3 linked regions of the Macaca mulatta genome follow. The protein of the gene in region 1 purifies or fractionates together with the protein of each later gene. This does not show direct contact. Links are inferred from orthologs where the notes say so. Each region holds a gene or a part of one and is shown in the gene's direction. Other genes may lie near its edges.

Evidence for each region.
Region 2: the proteins of ISG15 (region 1) and HERC5 purify together in Homo sapiens (affinity purification with western blotting; 3 studies listed by BioGRID, with this or other methods). This does not show direct contact. The link is inferred for Macaca mulatta from reciprocal best matches to the Homo sapiens genes ISG15 and HERC5.
Region 3: the proteins of ISG15 (region 1) and VCP purify together in Homo sapiens (affinity purification with mass spectrometry, with the first as the bait; 3 studies listed by BioGRID). This does not show direct contact. The link is inferred for Macaca mulatta from reciprocal best matches to the Homo sapiens genes ISG15 and VCP.

What each region holds. Positions count from the first base shown.
Region 1 is NC_133406.1:239,667,414-239,671,554, reverse strand, and holds ISG15 (ubiquitin-like protein ISG15), read left to right. Parts: upstream 1-2,020; 5' UTR 2,021-2,106; coding exon 2,107-2,109; exon of another isoform or gene 2,110-2,207; coding exon of another isoform or gene 2,208-2,210; intron 2,211-2,624; coding exon 2,625-3,119; 3' UTR 3,120-3,176; downstream 3,177-4,141.
Region 2 is NC_133410.1:97,783,932-97,788,720, forward strand, and holds part of HERC5 (E3 ISG15--protein ligase HERC5), read left to right. Parts: intron 1-955; coding exon 956-1,047; intron 1,048-1,278; coding exon 1,279-1,409; intron 1,410-4,364; coding exon 4,365-4,510; intron 4,511-4,789.
Region 3 is NC_133420.1:64,668,622-64,672,957, forward strand, and holds the end of VCP (transitional endoplasmic reticulum ATPase), read left to right. Parts: intron 1-168; coding exon 169-477; exon of another isoform or gene 478-534; intron 535-665; exon of another isoform or gene 666-750; coding exon 751-906; exon of another isoform or gene 907-984; intron 985-2,027; exon of another isoform or gene 2,028-2,050; coding exon 2,051-2,205; intron 2,206-2,360; coding exon 2,361-2,466; 3' UTR 2,467-3,020; downstream 3,021-4,336. UniProt on the Homo sapiens protein: Necessary for the fragmentation of Golgi stacks during mitosis and for their reassembly after mitosis. Involved in the formation of the transitional endoplasmic reticulum (tER).

The sequences.
Region 1 (4,141 bases):
TCACACGAATCGGTGCCTCAGTCCTTTTCATGGCTGCGTAATATTCCGTCCATCACTGATGGACATGTGCTCCGTTTCCACTACTTGTTTATTGTAAACTGTGCTGCCATGAACATTTGTATACAAATATTTGAACACCTATTCTCAATTCTTTTGCACACATGCCTAGGAGTGGAATTATTGGGTTACCGATAATTCTGTTTGACGTTTTGAGCGTCACAGTGGCCACACGGTTTACATTCTCAACAGCAATGCACGTACCAGGACTCACTCCAACTTCTGTGTGTATTCTCCAATGCTTGTTACTGTCCTTTATGTTTATTTTATATTATTTTTTGAGACTGTCTTGCCCAGGCTGGAGTGCATTGGCACAATCTTGGCTCACTACAATCGCTGCCTCCTGGGTTCAAGGGATTCTCCCGCCTCAGTCTCCCAAGTAGCTGGGATTACAGGTGTGTGCTACCACGCCCGGCTAATTTTTGTATTTTTAGTATAGGTGGGGTTTCTACTAAAAATGTTGGCCAGGCTGGTCTTGAACTCCTGACCTTAGGTGATCTGCCCGCCTCAGCCTCCCAAAGTGCTGGGATTACAGGCATGAGCCACCGTGCCCGACCTGTCCTTTATTTTTATTATTGCAGTCATACTAGTAGGAAATAGCATCTCACTGGGGTTTTGATTTGCATTTCCCCAAATCATGATGTTGAGCATCGCTTTACAGCCGTTGCTATGTCATTGGAGAAATGTCTATTGAAGTCTTTTGGCCATTTGAAAATTGAGTTGCCTTTTTTTTTTTTTTAATTGAGTTGTAGGAGTTCTCTATATGTCCTGGATGCTGTGCCCTCATCAGATAGATAATTTGCAAATATTTCTTCCCATTCCGTGGATTGTCTTTTCACTTTCTCAGTAGTGTCCCAGAGTTCATTTTTGTAGAAAATACAAGATAGGTCTCTTTTATTAAAAAACAATCTGAGGCCCGGGCGCAGTGGCTTACACCTGTAATCCCAGCACTTGCAGAGGCCGAGGCAGGTGGATCACTTGAGCCCAGGAGTTCGAGACCAGCCTGGGCAACATGGCGAGACCCCAATCTCTACTAAAAATACAAAAAAGTAGCCGGACCCCTGTGGTCCCAGCTACGTGGGAGGCTGACGTGAGGGGATCCCTTTAGCCAGGGAGGTGGAGGCTGCGGTGAGCTGGGATTGCACCTCTGCACTCCAGCCTGGGCGACAGAGTGAGACCCTGTCTCAAAAAAACAAAAACAACAAAAAACACCAAACCTGGGCAAATACTGCCCTAAACCAAGTGTTGTCATCTCTGGGGAGTTTGGAGGTTTTGTTTCTGAATTAACCATAGAGGTGTTTTCCATGTTTACTGTTTGCAAGTTGGTAAATGGAAAATGAAACCATTAGTTCATGTGAAGGCTTTAGCGCTTTTTTTTTTTTTTTTTTTTTTAACAGTTTCACTCTTGTTGCCCAGGCTGGAGCGCAATGGCGCGATCTCGGCTCACCGCAACCTCCACCTCCCAGGTTCAAGCGATTCTCCTGCCTCAACCTTCCCAAGTAGCTGGGATTACAGGCATGCGCCACCAAACCTGGCTAATTTTGTATTTTTAGTAGAGACGGGGTTTCTCTGTGTGGGTCAGGCTGCTCTCAAACTCCCGACCTCAGGTGATCTGCCCACCTCGGCCTCCCAAAGTGCTGGGATTACAGGAGTGAGCCACGGCATTCAACCAGCTTTAGTGCATCTTGTGAAGGACCTGGAATGCTCGATATTTAGGTGTTTCCAGGGTGTTGGGTGGGGGTGGGGATGCCGTCCGCCGTCCTGAGTCCCCGGCCCTGACAGTGCCTTTGAGACCCTGCCCACCCCCTTCTGCTTTTCCCCGTCTTTCGGCCATTCTGTTTTGTTTCTTCTGCTCACTCTGGGGCATGCCTTGGGAAAAGGAAACCGAAACTTGGCCACCGGAGCAGGCTCGCGCGGCCACGCCCCCTGACGTGTGTGGCTCAGGCTTATAACAGGGCTGGCTGCTGCCTGCAGGAGCCGGCAGTTGAGAGGCAGTGAACTCATCTTTGCCAGTACAGGAGCTCGTGCCGCGTCCCACAGCCCACAGCCATGGTAAGGGAGATGTCACAGGTGTGTGTGTGTTGGGTGGGGGGGGCCTCTGTGCCAATCAATTTTTGTCTCCCCCAGCCCGTGGCCCACAGCCCACAGCCATGGTAAGGGAGATGTCACAGGTGGGGGCTCGGGGGGGGGCAGGCCTCTGTGCCAGTCAATTTTCAGCTCCCTCCCCCAGCCAAGGTCTCCCAGGGTTGCAGGGAGAGCAGAGCTGCTTAGAGCTCGGCCAGGTTCTAAGTGTGCTCCTGAAAGCAGGTCACCCCTGAGATCCTCAGGGTGGGCACAGAGGGGCACCCTAGCAGGTAAAGGGAGGCCACGGATGGCTGTGGGCAGCTGGCCTTCTAGTAATGACCCCTCAGTGCCTTCTGTGCCTGGGGTCCCTGCTGATGGGATGTAGAGGACAAACAGGAGGAAGCACTGTCCCTGGGCACAGGAGCTCGCCCAGCAGCCAGGGCCTTGTGTGTCGTGGGCCTGGGACTGGTGCGGCAGCCTCTGAGCCTGTGTAATGTCTGCAGAGCTGGGACCTGAAGGTGAAGATGCTGGGGGGCAACGAGTTCCAGGTGTCCCTGAGCAACTCCATGTCGGTGTCAGAGCTGAAGGCAAAGATCGCCCAGAAGATCGGCGTGCATGCCTTCCAGCAGCGTCTGGCTGTCCACCCCAGCGGCGCCACCCTGCAGGACAGGGTTCCCCTTGCCAACCAGGGCCTGGGCCCCGGCAGCACGGTCCTGCTGGTGGTGGACAAGTGCGATGAACCTCTGAGCATCCTGGTGAGGAACGACAAGGGCCGGAGCAGCACCTACGAGGTACAGCTGACGCAGACTGTGGCCCACCTGAAGCAGCAAGTGAGCCGGCAGGAGGGTGTGCAGGACGACCTGTTCTGGCTGACCTTCGAGGGGAAGCCCCTGGAGAATCAGCTCCCGCTGGGGGAGTACGGCCTCAAGCCCCTGAGCACCGTGTTCATGAATCTGCGCCTGCGGGGAGGCGGCACAGAGCCTGGCGGGCAGAGCTAAGGGCCTCCACCAGCATTCGAGCAAGATCAAGGGCTGGAAATAAATGTTGTAAAGAGAAATGGCTGCCTCTGTGTCTGCACGTGACCCTCCTCCAGCGTCCGCCTCAGACCCCTAGTGAAGTGGCGGGAGGAGTCAGGAGGGAGATCCCAGGGTCCATCCTGGTGACCAGGCCTGGTTGCCAAGTGAAAGGATAAGGGTTTGCAGTTACAGCCTCGAGGGATCAAAATACGGAGCTTCCTCCCTACCAAACTGAAGTAAGACAGCTCTCCCCACCCTTTGGGAAATTAACTTCTAGGGAAAGAAAAAGAGACACAGTTGCTGGAGCCCATCCTGCCCATCCTCCATCTGGGACAGCAGACAGCTTAGGCAGGGACCAGCCTGCTCAAATCAAAAGGCTACGGGGGAGGCTCCCAGTGGGCCCCTGGAAGCTGTGCGGGGTGAGTCCTTGGGGCCTGCCCAGTGGGCTGTGAGGCAGGCTCTCCACAGGAACTGGGGGCCGGGGGCCTCAGCTGTCCCTAGCCCAGCCTGCACAGCCTGCTCCACCTGCCTGGGCTGGGCGAGGGAGGGATAGAGACAGGTCCTGAGTGCTCACATCACCACTGGGGCCAGCTGTAGAAGACAGCCTGGGTGGCTAAGCACATCCCCTCAAGGCTCTGCGTGAATGAGGGGCCGTGGCCAGCAGTGGGGGCGCCTGGAGTTGAGGCTGACACCATCCAGGAAGAAGAGCTTGTCCCAGGTTGGGGGCACCCAATTCAGTACAAGCTACACCCGTCCCCCAACGGTGCACCCTTCTCTAGCTCTCCTACTCCAATTTGCTAAATGAGCCTCCCAGAAGCCAACTGTTGGCCAGGACGCAGCGAGGATGGGGCATGGAGGGACACGCAGAGTCCAGACTCTGGGCACTTGGACCTCAGCTTTCAGAGCCCTCTGGAGGATCCAGCTGGAGACGCAGAGTCCCCCCTCATCTGTGGGGGTCCCTATCCAGGTGGGGAGATCCCAGTCTGGCTGCACCAGGACCACTG
Region 2 (4,789 bases), on another chromosome or scaffold:
AAAATTTCTCATGATCCCAAAAAACTCATTTAGAGTTTTCAGGTGTAAGAAATTCTGCTCCTTTACCCAGCTGTGGTACTGTATGCATTTCCCTGGATCACTGGTTACTCATTTCTCTCTGACACAGTGCAATGCTCATTACACAGAATAGCCAATAAGTCAGTGTTAGAAAAATATTCAAAGGAGAGAAGAGAATAAAGCAGCCGTTAAACTACTTTGGCTGAATCTCTGAGTGCTTTGACATGAAAATAATCATGAAGAAAAGAAGAGGTAGTGTGAGGTGATGACACTAGTAGATAATTTGAAAGAAAAAGGAGGGCCGGGCGCGGTGGCTCAAGCCTGTAATCCCAGCACTTTGGGAGGCCGAGACGGGTGGATCACAAGGTCAGGAGATCGAGACCATCCTGGCTAACACAGTGAAACCCCGTCTCTACTAAAAAATACAAAAAACTAGCCGGGCGAGCTGGCGGGCGCCTGTGGTCCCAGCTACTCGGGAGGCTGAGGCAGGAGAATGGCGTGAACCCGGGAGGCGGAGCTTGCAGTGAGCTGAGATCAGGCCACTGCACTCCAGCCTGGGCGACAGAGCGAGACTCCGTCTCAAAAAAAAAAAAAAAAAAGAGGAATTGCTATGTTCATTAAAAGTAATTCTAGATGGGTATTGGAAATATCTAATGTGCTGCAATTAAAGTGAATGAAGTCAGAATTGAGAACAGGCTTTAGGACGTGGTTTGACCCTTTCACAGGTGGGTGCCCCTAAGTGTGACCCTTTTGGCCACTGGTCCCACCTTCACCCTGAGGTATAGAACTTGATCCTAAACATGGCAACATAGAGCCTTTCTTGTCAGAATATCACGAGAACTGTTGTTGCTGGGTTGAGAAGCAGCAGTCCAGGTAACTGCAGGGTGAAACTCAGCATTTCCTTTTGGTCACTTCAGCTATTTTTTTCCTTACATAGGTAAAGATTCTCCTTCCCTTATTGAAGCACTAGACAATCAGAAAGTTGAATTTCTCGCTTGTGGTGGCTCTCACAGTGCCCTGCTCACACAGGTGGGTGTACCCTTGTCTCTTTTTGGCTGTATTTTTAGAAGAACATTTTGTATGGGAAGCTAGTGTTTCCCAGGGAAGAAAGGTCATCACTTCCTACATGTAGGACTGTCCTTCTGATATTTAGGAACTTTACTTTGACAGTGCTTTTTATTAGTTATTCACTTTGCATCAGTGAATACTACTTTTTTATTTTATTTCTCTAGCATCTGATATGACATTCCCTTTCCTTAGGATGGACTGCTGTTTACTTTTGGTGCTGGAAAACATGGGCAACTTGGTCATAATTCAACACAGAATGAGCTAAGACCCTGTTTGGTGGCTGAGCTTGTTGGAAATAGAGTGACTCAGATAGCATGTGGAAGGTAAGTTGTAAAGTATCAATGAAAATTGATAAAATGAATACAGTAAACTAGATAGTAATTTAATAAAATTTCTATCAGTTTCTTTGAGATTTAAGTATCATACATTTTCAAATCAGTGAAAATGCTTAATTTATATTATTTAGATAAACGTAATACCCCTTTTACTATACATGGTTGTTTTCTTTGTTGTTGTTTTTAATGAGCAGATGCAGTTCACTTTCTGCTGTCTCCTTAGTGAAAATACGTTTGTAACTATTCAGGTGCACTTTTGTCTTTAAGAAAAATAAGTCATTGTTTATTTGGGAAAAGTAAAGTGCGAATCACAAAGGATTATTCATTAATGTAATCACCCTCTCTCACAATGCCTTGCGGCCAGCATACTTTTTAATTACCAGAGTTCTTTCACTGTAGCCTGCGCTGATCATGGTAAAGTATAAGACATAGTCAGTGATGGTTTGAGTGAAATATTCCTGAAAAGTTTAATTTTCACAGCTCTTTTTTAGAAAATAAAGGTAAAATGTCTTGCTCAGACTCCTTGGTTTATTTAAAGGTTTTTGTTTTGTTTTGTTTTGTTTTGTTTTTGAGGTGGAATATTGCTCTGTCGCCCAGGCTGAAGTGCAGTGATGTAAGCTCAGCTCACTGCAACCTCCACCTCCCAGGCTCAGGTGATTCTCCCACCTCAGCCTCTGGAGTAGCTAGGATTACAGACGTGCACTGCCACAACCGGCTAATTTTTTTTTTTTTTTTTTTTTGAGACGGAGTCTCGCTCCATCGCACAGGCTGGAGTGCGGTGGCACAATCTCGGCTCACTGCAAGCTCCGCCTCCCAGGTTCACACCATTCTCCTGCCTCAGCCTCCTGAGTAGCTGGGACTACAGGTGCCTGCCACTATGCCTGGCTAATTTTTTGTATTTTTAGGAGAGACGGGGTTTCAACGTGTTAGCCAGGGTGGTCTCTGTCTCCTGACCTTGTGATCCACCTGCCTCGGCCTCCCAAAGTGCTGGGATTACAGGCGTGAGCCACCGTGCCCGGCCACAACTGGCTAATTTTTGTGTTTTTAGTAGAGACGGGGTTTCACCATGTTGGCCAGGCTAGTCTTGAACTCCTGACCTCAGGTGATCTGCCTGCCTTGACCTCCCAGAGTGTTGGGATTACAGGGGTGAGCCACCATGCCACTATTTAATTTTTTGGTCATCAGATATATCAGTGCACGTCTTGCCAGGGGGATATTGGGAGTTGATGGGGTTAAAAAAAAATTCTCCCCCGTATACACTACTCTTTTGGGCAGTTTTTCCCTCACTAAACATAGAGCAAAATTCAGACTGTATTTGAATGTTGGGTTCATTTGTTAGTTTACTGAAACCATTCTTGTAAAAAACTAACATGCATACTTTCAGTCTGATTTTCTTATAATCTTGGAGTAGAATTACATAGATGGGTAATATTAAGGTAGACCAAATTATCGGAATATGAGTCTGTTCACCAAACAAACATCTCTTCAATATTGATACCTCATTCAGTATCTCTTAACCAAAGCAGTCTTATTACCTCTTTGGATTCTTCATTACATACAATCCTTTTGAGTAGCATGTGTTACAAGAGAAGGAGGCAAGTTGGAGATCTGTCTTAATGCACATCAGGGCAATACCCCTACTAACAGGACAATTCACTGGAAAGACTCGGGAACTTACTGAAAGCTATTATACTCATAGTCACATTTATTCCAAGAAGAGGATACAAATTAGTACCAGTGAAAGGAAGAAACATAAGGGTAGGGTCTAGGAGGGCTCCAAATGCTGAGCTTGTGGCTGTCATCTCCCCTTGGAGGAGATGGATGGTGTTATCTCTTCTGGCCTGATAATGTGACAGGACATACAGAATTTGCCAACCAATCAGAGAAATTTACTCACCCAAGTTGAGAGTTGTTTTTGTTTTTTCTGGTTTTTTTTTTTTTTTTTTTTTGGAGACAGTACAGGATGTACATAATTTGCCATTCAGTCACAGAAGTTCACCTAAGTCAAGAGTTGTTTTTTGTTTGTTTGTTTGTTTGTTTGTTTTGAGACAAGGTCTCACTCTGTCACCCAGGCTGGACTGCAGTGGTGCTATCATGGCTTACTGCAGCCTTGACCTCCCAGGCTCAAGCAGTCCTCCTGCCTCAGCCTCCTGAGTAGCTGGGACCACAGGTGTGTGCCACCGTGTCCAACTAATTTTTAAATTTGTTGTAGAGATAGGGTCTCCTTATATTGACCAGGCTGGTCTTAAACTTCTGGGCGCAAAGTATCCTACTGCCTTGGCCTCCCAAAGTGCTAGGATTACAGGCATGAGCCACCACACCCAGCCTAGATTGAGGATTTCTATTGGGATTTTATTGCTGAGGCATGATTGGTTAAATCATTGCCAGGTAGTTGAACTTAATCTCCAGCTCTGCCCTCCTGTAGGTCTGAGGGCTTGGGAAATTCTGTGGGTTTAGAGGTTACCTCCCAGGAACTGGGCACCAGCCAGACCTCTCTGGGCAAGGCAGATTCCTTGCTACACAACAGTATAGTGGAGATACAAACAAGCAAAATAGGAAATCAGTGTGGTAAAGGTCTTTGAGAAATTAAATGGGAACTCAACTGAGTCTTCCAGGATGGGAAGAGAAGGGACTCAGATGGTTTCCAAGTGACGGTGACTCAAACTGAAGTTGAAAAATGAGCAGAGGGCAAGGGGAGGTGCTTGTTCCAACAAAGGGAACACCATTCGCCAAAGTATGACATCATGGTCTTGAGTGGCCTTTGGGTTCCACAGTCTTTTCAGGTACATGTTGATTTCTTGGTTTCCAGATGGTTTTCATCCTTTAGGAGATGTTTAGTTTCACTTTCACTGGGTAACATAGTTTTGGCAATTTACTGTATTGCTAAACACTCTCATCATTGTGGATAATTAAGGATTGACCATATGTGCTTTTATTTAATAGGTGGCACACGCTTGCCTATGTTTCTGATTTCGGAAAGGTCTTTTCCTTTGGTTCTGGAAAAGACGGACAACTGGGAAACGGTGGAACACTTGACCAGCTGATACCGCTTCCTGTGAAAGTATCATCAAGTGAAGAACTCAAACTTGGTAAATTCTTTAGGAACATAGGGTTTGGCATAGTATCTTTTTAGAGAAAATGATTTTTCTAACTGGGTAATGTGGCAAAGAAAGCAGTATATGACTATGAAGGGAGTTTCTCTAAATATTGGTTTCATTTTTTTACTGGTAAACAATTCAAGAGTCAGTCTGATTTATTGAGGCAAAATAATTATTCTGTATTACTCCTTCAGATTAGGATTAATGTGAATTTAAATGATAAAATACACAATGGATTCAGAGGCATATGCAGCTCTCATTCCAGTTTGC
Region 3 (4,336 bases), on another chromosome or scaffold:
TGTAGAGATGAAGTCTCAGTATGTTGCCCATGCTGGTTTTGGATTTCTGGCCTCAAGTGATCCTCCCACCTTGGCCTTCCAAAGTGCTGGGAATACAGGTGTGAGCCACCACGTTTGGCCGAGAGATCTAGTTTTGTTAATGCTTGAATCAATCCATTCCTCCTACAGGCCCGCCAAGCTGCTCCATGTGTGCTGTTCTTTGATGAGCTGGATTCAATTGCCAAGGCTCGTGGAGGTAACATTGGAGATGGTGGTGGGGCTGCTGACCGAGTCATCAACCAGATCCTGACAGAAATGGATGGCATGTCCACAAAAAAAAATGTGTTCATCATTGGCGCTACCAACCGGCCTGACATCATTGATCCTGCCATCCTCAGACCTGGCCGTCTTGATCAGCTCATCTACATCCCACTTCCTGATGAGAAGTCACGTGTTGCCATCCTCAAGGCTAACCTGCGCAAGTCCCCAGTTGCCAAGGCAGGTGCAGGATCATGGGCTGTGGGAGACTTGTATGAGTCCTCAGTCTGGTATAGAGTGCTCTTTGGGTTCTGGACAAGATTGCTTTGGGGTTAGGGTTGGTCTAAAGGGAAGGTAGAATTTTTGAGGGTATTAAGATAATCTAGAATCAGGAATAAAATGGGGTGGCCAAAGAAGGGGCAAACTAGTTGGGAGTGCTTGGATGGCCCAAAGATCTGTGTATCTCAAGAGAGAAGAGGCTAAATGCTAAGGTAGCTCTGCTGCTTCTTTTAGGATGTGGACTTGGAGTTCCTGGCTAAAATGACTAATGGCTTCTCTGGAGCTGACCTTACAGAGATTTGCCAGCGTGCTTGCAAGCTGGCCATCCGTGAATCCATCGAAAGTGAGATTAGGCGAGAACGAGAGAGGCAGACAAACCCATCAGCCATGGTGAGTCTGTATCCTTTCCCCAGATGTGCCAGTCATGGGGAGCCAGGCAGCAGCCACCACCATGCCCTAGAGTTGAGAGTAGAAGTTGTTGAAAAGATCATCTGAGAAGAATGTTAATAGGGCATCAAAGATAAAGAATACTGAGGTGAATCCATTCAATTTGGAATAAGGCCGAGAAGAGATGGGCAGGCTCCATTCTCAGTCTAAACCAAGCTCCATGAGGGAAATCAAAGTATGAGAGTGCACCAAACAGAGCAAGGTTTTTGTTCTTGTTTTTGTTTTTTTTGAGACGAAGTCTTGCTCTGTTGCCCAGACCGAAGTGCAGTGGCGCGATCTCGGCTCACTGCAACCTCCGCCTCCCAGGTGCAAGCCATTCTCCTGCCTCAGCCTCCCGAGTAGCTGGGACTACAGGTGCATGCCACCACGCCCGGCTAGTTTTTTGTATTTTTTTTTAGTAGAGACGGGGTTTCACCGTGTTAGCCAGGATGGTCTCGATCTTCTGACCTTGTGATCCGCCCGCCTTGGGCTTTCAAAGTCCTGGGATTACAGGCGTGAGCTGCAGAGCAAGGTTTTGAACTGAGATGAGACCCATATACCTGTCCCTGATGGTTGGGGAAGGGATGGGGTCCACAGTCCTCCCAAAATGAAAAGACAAATTCATGTGTGTGTAAGCTCCATAAAGGTAGGATCTCTGTCATCTCACTTGTTTTCCACTATGTCCTGTGTTACCCTTAATTAATTCATTAAGTTCCAAACATGGGACTTAATGAATGAGCAAATAAATGGCTTTCTTTCTGTTTTGAAGGGTCTGTGACCTTCTCTCTCCCATAAAAGCTTAAAACTACTTATGAACTAATCCTAGGAAGCAGTCTCATAAGTCACAGCAATTGGCCTCTCAATGGAAGAGATAGGTTTTGAGCTGGGCTGTGAAGAGAGTATAATTTGAATAAAGGGAATAAGCAGCCCAAATAATGTGCTCTAGTAGTAGGATTGCAATCATTGGGAAACCCTGAGTATATTTTAGAGTATATATGTCACTGAAAGTGAGACCACTGGGTAGGATGTAATCCAAATGTGGTAAACACTGAAAACTATTGGCATTTTAAAGTATTAAGCCCTAGTGATCTGTGTTTACCAACTATAGGAGGTAGAAGAGGATGATCCAGTGCCTGAGATCCGTCGAGATCACTTTGAAGAAGCCATGCGCTTTGCGCGCCGTTCTGTCAGTGACAATGACATTCGGAAGTACGAGATGTTCGCCCAGACCCTTCAGCAGAGTCGGGGCTTTGGCAGCTTCAGGTAACTTGGTTGGGAGCCTTAGACAGTGCTTAAGTTACTTTGGGAACCTACACCAAAAAGGGAATGGGAGTCCTAAGGAAGCTAGAGGGGTAGTTGTGGAAATCTTACACAGGCTCTGTCCTAACCGTCTTTTTTGGCTTTGCTCTCGTACACAGATTCCCTTCAGGGAACCAGGGTGGAGCTGGCCCCAGTCAGGGCAGTGGAGGCGGCACAGGTGGCAGTGTATACACAGAAGACAATGACGATGACCTGTATGGCTAAGTGGTGGTGGCCAGCATGCAGTGAGCTGGCCTGCCCGGACCTTGTTCCCTGGGGGTGGGGGCGCTTGCCCAGGAGAGGGACCAGGGGTGCGCCCACAGCCTGCTCCATTCTTCAGTCTGAACAGTTCAGCTACAGTCTGACTCTGGACAGGGGGTTTCTGTTGCAAAAATACAAAACAAAAGCGAAAAAATAAAAGCGATTTTCATTTGGTAGGTGGAGAGTGAATTACCAACAGGGAATTGGGCCTTGGGCCTATGCCATTTCTGTTGTAGTTTGGGGCAGTGCAGGGGACCTGTGTGGGGTGTGAACCAAGGCACTACTGCCACCTGCCACAGTAAAGCATCTGCACTTGACTCAATGCTGCCCGAGCCCTCCCTTCCCCCTATCCAACCTGGGTAGGTGGGTAGGGGCCACAGTTGCTGGGTGTTTATATAGAGAGTAGGTTGATTTATTTTACATGCTTTTGAGTTAATGTTGGAAAACTAATCACAAGCAGTTTCTAAACCAAAAAATGACATGTTGTAAAAGGACAATAAACGTTGGGTCAAAATGGAGCCTGAGTCCTGGGCCCTGTGCCTGCTTCTTTTCCTGGGAAGAGCTTTGGGCTACCCACCACTCCCAAGGCATTCTTCCAAATGTGAAATCCTGGAAGTAAGATTGCACCTTCTTCCTTTCCTGATCAACATCAGTATGATGTCTCCTGTTGCCTCACCCTGTGTGTGCAGTATCACTGGATAGGACTGGTGGAAAGGGAGCAGCCTGACAGAGCTCCAAATGTGGAGAATATGGCATCCCTCCACCTATATTTGATGTGAACGGTAAGGCTAGGCCTGCAGAATCCCTTATCCTGACCAAAGACTGTGTTTAGGAGCCATTTGAAAATCATAGGGTTGCAAAAAAATACAATCTTATTTGCAGGTGGATATTCTCTATACTCCCTTTTAATGCATCTAAAAATCCCAAACATCCCCTGGTTGGTGATCACTTAGCGTTGTGCCCACCTTTATTTTATGTACTTTGTTTGATTTAAAAAAAAAAAGCTTTTTGTTAATATAAGATTTTAGTATTGAATTTTTTTTTCCAAACAGAAAATAGACTGTCCTCTTCAATCACTTAGTGCTTCTGGGGTCAGTACAATGATGCCTCACCCAGAGAGAGAGTAGTGCAGAGAAAATAAATTACTAAATATATGTTGATTGGGTTTGGGACATAAAAGACAGTCCTGAACACCATAATTTTGAATAAAATACTGTAGTCTCCAAAGATCAAAATCCCTAAAGTCTAAAATTCTGAAAATCACAATCCCAAAAGGTCAAAATCCCAAAATACAATTCTGGAAGAAATGCTAAACATTCTTCAAAAATTTACTTACATTTAAAAAAGCATATTTATTTGAGAAACAACACGACAGAACATTTCATAGGCTACTTTACACGATAAAATAGGGAATAGTAACGTTTTTGCAAGGTAAACACTCAGGTATACCAACAACAGTTGCACAGATATAATGGTGATGAGCAGATGAAACATATTCATAAAGAAATAGGTCAGAAAGTGAAATGTATAAATGCTTGTCACTATGCTTGGTAATTGTGGGCATCTAGCTTTATAACTGTGGTCAACTGTAATACTGTGACAGAAAACCTAAGTCTTGATGAGATGGTTCAAAAACTGTTACGGTAACCACTGCATTGTCTCCCAAAGAGACGGGGTCTTGAGAACGATTTATTCTTCACAAATGCACGTGTAGAAAAAACAGATGTCTCTTCATTTATTGAGGAACTTTCAACATTTTTATGCACACATACAATGCTCACACACAGAGTCAACATTGTGGTCATGGAGTCAAATTTTTAATGTCCAAGGCACC